Linked DNA regions of Oryctolagus cuniculus. The protein of the gene in region 1 binds, or shares a complex with, the protein of each later gene. Links are inferred from orthologs where the notes say so. Each region holds a gene or a part of one and is shown on either strand. Other genes may lie near its edges.

The links.
Region 2: the proteins of NMUR2 (region 1) and NMU are in contact, whole or in part, in a cryo-EM structure (PDB 7XK8), measured with the Homo sapiens proteins. The link is inferred for Oryctolagus cuniculus from reciprocal best matches to the Homo sapiens genes NMUR2 and NMU. Residues at the interface, in NP_064552.3 of Homo sapiens: Ser42, His43, Gly98, Glu102, Glu105, Met106, Trp107, Arg108, Asn109, Tyr110, Pro111, Thr123, Phe126, Glu127, Asn181, His185, Pro199, Ser201, Thr203, Cys204, Val206, Tyr213, Phe284, Arg288, Phe291, Glu295, Trp297, Ser298, Glu299, Ala302; in NP_006672.1 of Homo sapiens: Glu146, Phe152, Ala153, Ser154, Gln155, Gly158, Tyr159, Phe160, Leu161, Phe162, Arg163, Pro164, Arg165, Asn166.

The regions. Positions count from the first base shown.
Region 1 is NC_091437.1:39,388,014-39,392,454, forward strand, and holds the start of NMUR2 (neuromedin-U receptor 2), read right to left. Parts: upstream 3,008-4,441; 5' UTR 2,721-3,007; coding exon 2,004-2,720; intron 1-2,003. UniProt on the Homo sapiens protein: Receptor for the neuromedin-U and neuromedin-S neuropeptides.
Region 2 is NC_091439.1:108,851,959-108,856,483, forward strand, and holds the start of NMU (neuromedin-U-25), read left to right. Parts: upstream 1-1,502; 5' UTR 1,503-4,245; coding exon 4,246-4,336; intron 4,337-4,525.

The DNA.
Region 1 (4,441 bases):
AGGACAAGTAAAAGGGGTAGAGACACTAAAGGAATTGTTGTGGTGAACAATAGAAATATTTCAGGCAAAATGTGGAGGCTCTGAAGTGAAGCCTACAGATACAACCTGTTTCTGCTGACGTCCAGTCTATAGATTGTTAAGTTATTTTAGGAGTGACTTTCTCGGCACATAGCTCCTTTCCTGATACCCTCTGGTAGCTTGGATAGCACCTCAGTCTTCCTAGAGCAGAGTGTTGTAAGGTGTATTGCACACATAAAGGAAACTTGACTGGTTTCTAAGCTGCTTATTGTCTTGGCTGTCGCTTAGCTCCTCATATAAGTTAGCTGTGGGTTCCTGAAAACAAAATACAGTGACACTTGGAGTTATTGCGGTTTGTAGGGGAAGAATGTGATTTCTATTCAGAGTTGAAAATTACTCCCTAACTGACCAAAGATGAGTGACTCATAGATGTTAGACAGGGTAGAATTGACAAATTCTGGGCGGGGATTTCTCCAAGGATTTAGGATACTTGGAGTTGTGAAGTAGTTTTCCCCCTCAGTGAGAATCATGAGGCTTTTAAAGACATGGCTACACACTAGCCTGGGGTGACATATGTTTCTGGGAATACAGGGACAAAGCCCTTCAGAAGGAGACTGGCACGAGTCTGCCTGATTCAATTTATCCTTGTGCCCAGGTGTCTGTGTCACTTAGAATCTATTATTTTTCCTTAGACCTTGCCATTCCTGTTAGAGACAACAGGTATTCAGAATATCTGCTTCTGTGGCACTGCTTCTGACAATTACCTTTCTCAGAGGTGAACTGATGTGGGAGTGTGCTAGTTGTCACGTCATGTATGGTACCAGAACCATCTTGAAGTGTGTGCTGTGAGTTTGTCTGCTCTGTTCTTCCATTTACAACTCCTGTTGCTCCTGCTCACAGTACTTCTCCCTTTTTTGAGGAATCACAGATTGTTGGAGCCAGAAGGAGACGTAGAGATAATCTGCTATGACCTTTTCATTTTATAAATGGGAAAACTCATTGCAGAAGAATTATGTGGCTTTTCATATATCACCCGTGGACTTGGGAGTCTAAACATCCTTGTAACTTTATGACATGAGCCATCTCCTTAAGTGGGTTGTCATAGTCAAGACTTCCATTTCTATGAATTTGAGTACAGAATATTCTAGGAGAAGAACTATATAGACATCTGCCCTTATCAAAATATTTTCTCAGCTAATTGACACTCAGAAAATAGAAAATAAAAAGAAATCAGTTTATCATGGAGAGTACTGGAAGGAACCTGCAATTTAAGTTGAAAACTGAGTGATAGTTTTGTTTTAATCCCAAATATCTCTATTGACATTTTCTTTTACTCTCTTTCAAGAGCTCCATTCACCTCCCCATCCCTCAGTTTCTACCTGCTGTACAGGGGAACAAATTGATGTCATTCAGGAAATTCATATTCTTTTGTTTTTATTTTAATCTGATATTTTAACCAAAGGGTCAAAGCAACCACAAGGAGGGACCTGACTTCACAATTGTATAGATGGGGAAAGATTATGCTGTCCTGAGACCAATTGGTGCAGTTGACAGAGATAAGGGAGGACAGTAGGGTATAGAAGGGCTTCCCAAGGTGTGGCCACCTAACCCCAGTTTGCCTGATGTGCTTGTTTCAAAGAGGCTACAGCTCAGACCAGATGAGTCCAATTTTTTTCTAAGGGTGTAGAGTGTGCATAATAGTATCCTTAGCAAGTTTTCCAAGTGATTCTCAGAAACACTTAACTATGAGAGCCACAAGCAAAGAGGAGAGGAATCAAAGGTGAGCTATGGAAAGTGACAGGTGGTTGTAATTCCTGCTTGTCTCATTTGAGGAAAAAGCTTTCAGCTTTGTTTCCCCCTCTGAGCTCATCCTGCTTGTCTCTATGATAAATTTCTAGTTCTAAGATTGCCTGGTTCTAAATGATTCTCTTTGGATCAGTGGAACAGGCTGCATGCTGGCTCTAGCCAGCAGCCGGGATACTCACTCTGAGCCCCATGAGATAGTAGAGCACACTGATGACAGTCATGGGGAGGACGTAGAAGAGGAAGGAAGTGACCTGGATGATGAAGTTGTAGATCCACATGGGCGTGATGATCTCACAGGTGGCAGAGCCGGGGACCAAGGAGCCATTGGGGAAGTAGTGGAGCTTGATGCCGTGGATGCTGGTATTGGGCAGAGAGAAAAGGACAGAGAAGCCCCAGACCACGGCCACGATTCTGAGAGCCCGCCGTCTGGTGCTCTCCAGCTTGGCCCGGAGTGGGTGGAGGATGGCCACGTAGCGCTCCACGCTGACCGTGGTGATGCTGAGGATGGAGGCAAAGCACACAGTCTCAAAGAGTGCCGTCTTGAAGTAGCAACCGAGCGGCCCGAACAGGAAGGGGTAGTTGCGCCACATCTCATAGACTTCCAAGGGCATGCCGAGGAGCAGGACCAGGAGATCGGAGACGGCCAGGCTGAAGAGGTAGTAGTTGGTGGGTGTTTTCATGCTCTGGTGCCGCAGAATCACCAGGCACACCAGGACATTGCCCACCACCCCCACCACAAAAATCAGCGCGTACACCACAGACATGGGGAGGAAGAGGTGGCTTCGCCGAGGCCCGCACAGGTAGGCCAGGTAGTCCTCCGTGCTGTTCAGGTATTTCTTGAGTGCATCTTCCAGGTCCTGCTGGCGCCTCCAGGTAGCATTCTCAAGTCTTTCCATCACTGACAACACAGTTTAAGACCCAAGTGTCCCCTGCTATGAAGCGCTGTCCCAAGCTGAGCCAGAAAAAGAGAGAGCTGGGCAAAGCAGAGGCTCCGTGAAGAGGGCTGGGGGAGAGTGAGCGCTTCAGCCTCTAGGTTGGGCTGCTCAGACCGCGGATGCCGGTGGAAGAGCCCCTGAGACAGAAGCCCCTCCCCTCGGCAGGCGCAGGCCAATGAGTGTGTGGCAGGCTGCTCAGGGAGAGGACGCTGAGTGGGGTGTGCTGGCTTTGTGCACAAGGAGCAGGAAAGGAGGGGGAGGCCTTTCTCTGCATTGACAACCTCTGGGGAAACAGCAGAGTGTGGCGGTGACATTGTCCAAGTGTGGGCACTCCCACAACTTTGCAAACAGGGCGAAAGGAAGAATTGAACTTGCAGGGTCATGGATAGATGATTACAAATCTCCATTGATCTTTGTCGCTTAGCAAAAACGGAAGATCAATGGACTTTCTCAGATTACCTTGTTCCACTGGAAATTCAAGGCTGTCTGATAAAAGCACGATCAATTCGACTTTTGGGTTCTGATTGCATCAACAATGGACTCCAAAGCCGAAAGGACGCTTAACATGTCAGCCAGCCCTGCCTGCTATCTGACATTTCAATCTCTGTAGGCAGCATCAAAAACCAGTGAGTTTCAGATTCAGGCATATACAAAGAAATTTGTGAAAGCTGCTCAAATTCTCAGAGTCTCATTTCCTTATCTGTATCATTCATTCTGTTGTGTTTAACACATACTTCTCGAGGATTCATTTTGTGCCAATGTTTTAGGCTTTGTGGATACATCAGTGAGCAAACAAAAAAATTTCTCAGCCCTTGTGAGTTTTATCTGTTTACAGTGGGAATTTCTAAAAATATGCTACCAAACTGATGAATTGATAAAATTTCAGATAGTTGATATGTGATTATTTACAAAGGATAGTCAAAGTTTTATCTCAGCAGGTACCTTTGGGTTGAGGTCTGGATGATGAAAACTCAGATGTAAAAAAATGAAGGAAGTATATTCCCAGCAAAAGAAACAGGAAGTTCAAATGCCCTGAGGCAGAAACAGTCTTGATGTATTTCAGAAATGTGGAGTATAACTGAAACTTAATAAGGATCAGGAGATTTGAATGCATACATTTAAGTGTATTAAGGGTCATGTAAACTCTTACAGGATATTATATATCCTCAAGTTATGCTTGCTGAATGTTAATTCTACTTAATTTATAAATTATATGATGAAACTAAAGATGTCCAAGAATCATCTGTTGGTCCAGATGAGATAGCTAATGTGGCTATAAGGAGTAATTGGCATATCTCAGTGGCTTAAAAGGATAAAAATATATTTTCTACACTGCAGATTTATCATATCTGGAGTGTCTATTCCAGACTATACTCACTTAGTGACCTATGGCTAATGAGTAGCACTTCTAGAACTTTCATGAGCATTGTAGTAGGGGGAAGGGGAGCTGTGGAAGGTTTCAAGTCGGTAATTATAGGCTCTAGCCCCACAGTAAGTAACATGTATCACTTTTGCTCAGAGCTCATTGATCAAGTTACTTGTAAGCATCCACTCAGCTTTGGCACGTGCAGGAAGTGCACAGAAGATGGAAAACCAGGAAAGTCTGGTGAACACAAAACAGTAATCGCTGAGATAAAAGACATCCCAGAGCCAGAATAGGAGCCCCACGTGAATGAGGAGCT
Region 2 (4,525 bases), on another chromosome or scaffold:
GTGGGTGCCGGGTTCTAGTCCCGGTTGCTCCTCTTCTAGTCCAGCTCTCTGCTGTGGCCTGGGAGGGCATTGGAGATGGCCCAGGTGCTTGGGCCCCTGCACCCAGATGGGAGACCAAGAAGAAACACCTGGCTCCTGGCTTCAGATCGGTGCAGTGCCAGCCGTGGTGGCCATATGGGGGGTGAACCAATGGAAGGAAGACCTTTCTCTCTGTCTTTCTCTCTCACTGTCTATAACGCTACCTGTTAAAAAAAAAAAAAAAATCCAGGGAGTATATGGCGATGTTTGGCCAAAGACTGATGCATTTTCCTGTGCTGAGTTGCCAAGGCTGCCACCAACCCATCCAACACGTCTCCGTCACAGCTGGCCTGGATTGCTTTCTTTTTCTTTTAAAGTCGTGCTACAATTCACATACCATAAAATCTGTCCTTTCAGAGTGCAGCATTCAGTGGTGACTGGTTTATGAACAAGTCTGTGCAACATCGCTACTGCCTGATTACCGTGCATTTCAACATCTCCCAGAGGAGACCCACCCACGCACAGTCACTCTCCCCAACCCTGCAAGCCACTCAGCTGTGTTCGGCGTCTCTGGCATGCCCTACCCGGGACATCGGGAACAGACGGAATTAGACAGTATGCAGCCCGAGCGATTCTGGATCTTTCCCGCGGGATCATGTTTTCCACTTCCTCCCTGCAGTGGCGAGTGCCCCTGCTTCTTCCTGGGGCTCCAGGGGACTTCTGCAGTGGCATCTCTCCTGGTGTCCTGCTTCTGCTGGGTCCCCAGAGCCAGCTGTCCACTGAAGCTGCAGGGACCTTTTCAGATGTCAATCCCATCATCCTCCTCTTCTGCTTCAGATCCTCCAAACGATTCCCCTAATCAGAAAAAGACGTGAGCTTATCACGGCTTCCTGGACCTTCCCATGGTCAGGGCCCTCCCTGCCACTTCTCCCCTCACTGAGTGCCAACTGCACTGGCTTCCTTCTGCTCCTTGGACTTCCCAGGCATGCTTCTGCCTCAGGGCCTTTGCACAGGAGGGAGCCTCTGCCTGGGTTCTTTTTTTCACTTCTACTCTTGCGCCTGGTTCCCTACCTTTCAGGCCTCCCATATCACTCCCTCGGAGAGGTGATCCTGGCTCAAGAGTCTTTTCCCCCAATTCCTAGTCACCTTTTATTCTTTCATTATCCTGGTTTTTTCTTTGTAGTAGTTACTGTTACCTGAAATTGCTATTTTTATTTATTTATTTATTTGTTATCTGACTCTTCTTTTAAAAAAAAAAGATTTATTTATTTGAAAGACAGAGTTACAGAGAGAGGTAGAGACAGAGAGAGAGGTCTTCCATCCCCTGGTTCACCCCCAAGATGGCCGCAACAGCCAGAACTGCGCCGATCCAAAGCCAGGAGCCAGGAGCCCCCTCCGGTTCCCCAACGTGGGTGCAGGGGCCCAAGCACTTGGGCCATCCTCCACTGCTTTCCTGGGCCATAGCAGAGAGCGAGAGCAGAAGAGGAGCAGCCGGGACTAGAACCGGTGCCCACATGGGATGCCGGCGCTTTCAGGCCAGAGCTTTAACCCACTGCGCCACAGTGCTGGCCCCCAATCTGACTCTTCTTGAAAATCTGCCAACTCCACCAAGTCACGACTTTACCTGACTCAGTGATCGCTTGCCGCCCACGCTGCTAGGATGGAGCATAGTAGATAGACGCTCAACTAGTATCTGGAGAACCACACGGCTATCTTGCCCAGAACCCACAAACCTTCCGGATCTTGCCTCTATGCTCAGTTCCTGAATCCGAGTCTTTGTCTATTACTTTATTGGTAACAGACTTCATCTGTTACCTTCCTGCCAGCTGGACATCCTGACTGGTTAGACCTCTCTGCTCTCTCTCCAGTCTCCTGATGCTCTGCTCTCTGCCTCAGTGCCTCCTGTGACAGCTTCCCCAACATCACTGCACAGAGCTCGCCCAGACTGGGATCCCAGGCCCATGACCTGATGGAACGTCCATTCGTCCAGGTCTTACCAAGAACCAGACTTTCAGACACTGTCGGTGCCACGCTGCAGCTGGTGGCAGGGACAGAGGGAGGAGCTCACTCTCAGCGAATGAGAACAGCCTGGAATTCGGTGACCAAGGCTCCTGGGATTAGGACGAGACTGGGATTAGCTGCTTTGAGAATGCGTGGACTAAGCCACAGGATGCGTGACGTGCACGTCCTTTCTTAAACATTCCCTTAAAAATAACAAGCCAGGGGCTGGCGTCGTGCAGTGAGCTAAGCTGCCACTGGTGACGCCAGCAGCCCATATCGGAGTGCTGGTCCAAGTCCCAGCTGCTCTGCTGCAGATCCAGCTTCCTGTTAGTGTGTCTGGGAAAGCAGCAGGGCAAGGCCCAAGTGCTTGGGCACCTGCCACCTAGCTGGGAAACCCGGATGGAGTTTCATGCTTCTGACTTAGACCAGACCCAGCTCCAGGTGTTGGGACCATTTTGGAGAACGGAAGATCTCTGTCTCTCCCTCTCCCTGTCTGCCTTTCAAATAAATAAGTAAATCTTTAAAAGAACAATAACAATAATCCGTGTTAAAGAGAGAAGCCAGCAGTGGGCAGGAAACATTTGCTGTCTTTGTAACCAACAACAGTTTCCGAAGACCTAAAGCATTGCTATAATCAGTGAGGAAGAAAGCTGAGGACACCATGGGGGGAAATAGGCCAGAGAGATACAGGGACATCGCCCCGAAGAGGAGACCGCAGTGGCTGGCGCAGTCGTGGAGGGACAATCTCGCCAGTGAACTCGCAGCTGCACGGGAAACCCACCCTCGACTGGCGAATGTGCAGCCGTGGGGACTTGGTGGGACTCTTCGGAAAGCCAATCAGAACTGAACTGGATCGGCCTCTCTTAGCGAGCTCCTCCGAGTGCACACCAGGCAGTTCATACAGGCAGACACCGGCCCACAGCTCCAGGAGACCTCGCCTGGCTCATGCGGAACAAACGTGAGACCCTGAGTTGTGGCTTCTGCCCACTCCAAGCCGGTGCTGTCAGACACCAGAGACACGCACGGGGAGTGGGAGCCAGGGCAGGCCCACCTGCCTGCATCCTCACCTCACTGACATCCTTGGCGCTACCTCCCCACCCCACTGTGTGAATAAATCAGAATGCCAGCAGTCAAGCTAGTGCTCGCCCGCCCTTGAACCTGGACCCTGTGACCTGGGCTTCTGCACAGCATCCCGTAGCTACTGTATTCTGCCGGATCGCGGTGTTTCTGAGACAGCACTGTTCCAGTTTACCGTCTAGTAGCTGGGGTCCTCTACGGAAGTGCTATGGCTCCCAGTCCCCAGCCGTGGCTCCTGCCTGTCCCGGGCTGTGCGGGGGAAGCCGGGACTCCTTCAACGCTGCACTCAGCGCGAAGCGTCCCCCGCAGGAGCAGGGCCTGCGGCTCGCTCCCTCGGACACCCCCGGGCCTGGCGCAGCAACACCCCTCCCGAACTGGGAACGCGCGTCCGACCTGCGCTTTCCTCCGCCTTCCCTGCCTGTCACCGGGAGCTCAGAGAAGAGCCCTCGCCCCTCTTCCCGGAGCAGGGCATCGGAACGGTGTCAGCGGGGGTCCTGGGAGAGGCTGCAGCCCTGGAGTGTCCAGCTAGGAAGCAAAGGACTGGGGGCAGGGACAGCGAGGCCAGGTCCCGCCGGAAACCCGAGGGCGAAGGCAGCACAGATGCAGAGAGTAAGGGTTACCGGAGAGCCGGAGCCCGCCCAGAGCCGTGCGAGACTGGTGCGGGGTCACCCGCATCCGCGGACCAGGCGTCTCGCTGACGGGTCTCCGGCTTTGTGGGCACTTGGGGCATGGTCAGCAGCGCGGACGGCGCCCTTGAACCAGCAACGCTAGGAGCTTGGACTCGGGAGCGCATGGGGCCGGCACGGCTAAGCGGGCGCGAGAAAGAAGGGGCGCCCCCAGCAGACGCAGGAGCCACGAGAGCATCCCCACGTCCAGGGTGAAAACCCGCACCCCAGGCGCGCGCTGGGATCTTTGAAAAGCGGAGACAGCGGCGTACGCTTTTCCTGCCCGGCTTGCCCATCCCAGAAAATCAGGGGCGCCCTGAGTCACAGGCCCTGGCCGGGGGCGGCCGAGGGCTGACGCGCGCGGGGACCGCCCGCCGCCGCCGCCCACGTGTGCGCCAGATTTAAAAGTTGGGCGGCGGAGGCGCCTGCTGCAGGGTGCGCGCCGCGCAGGGTCCCGGGTCCCCAGCAGCCCGCAGGTGCCGAGATGCCGAGAGCCGCGCGCCAGCGCCCCGGGCCGGCCCCGCTCTCGCTGCTGCTGCCGCTACTGCTCGCCTGCTGCGCGGACTCCGGCCGAGGTAAGAGGGTCCCGGGCCGCCGCCGCGCCCCCGCGGGACCTCGCCTCGGACCGCGGGCGCCAGTGCAGGGGGCGCAGGTGCGCACGGGCCGGGGTCTTCCACAGCCTCCGTGCGTTGTTTCCAGCTCCCGTGGCCCTTGGGTGACGGAAACAAAAACGCTTCGCGCGCGATGGCCAGCACTGGAAGCGT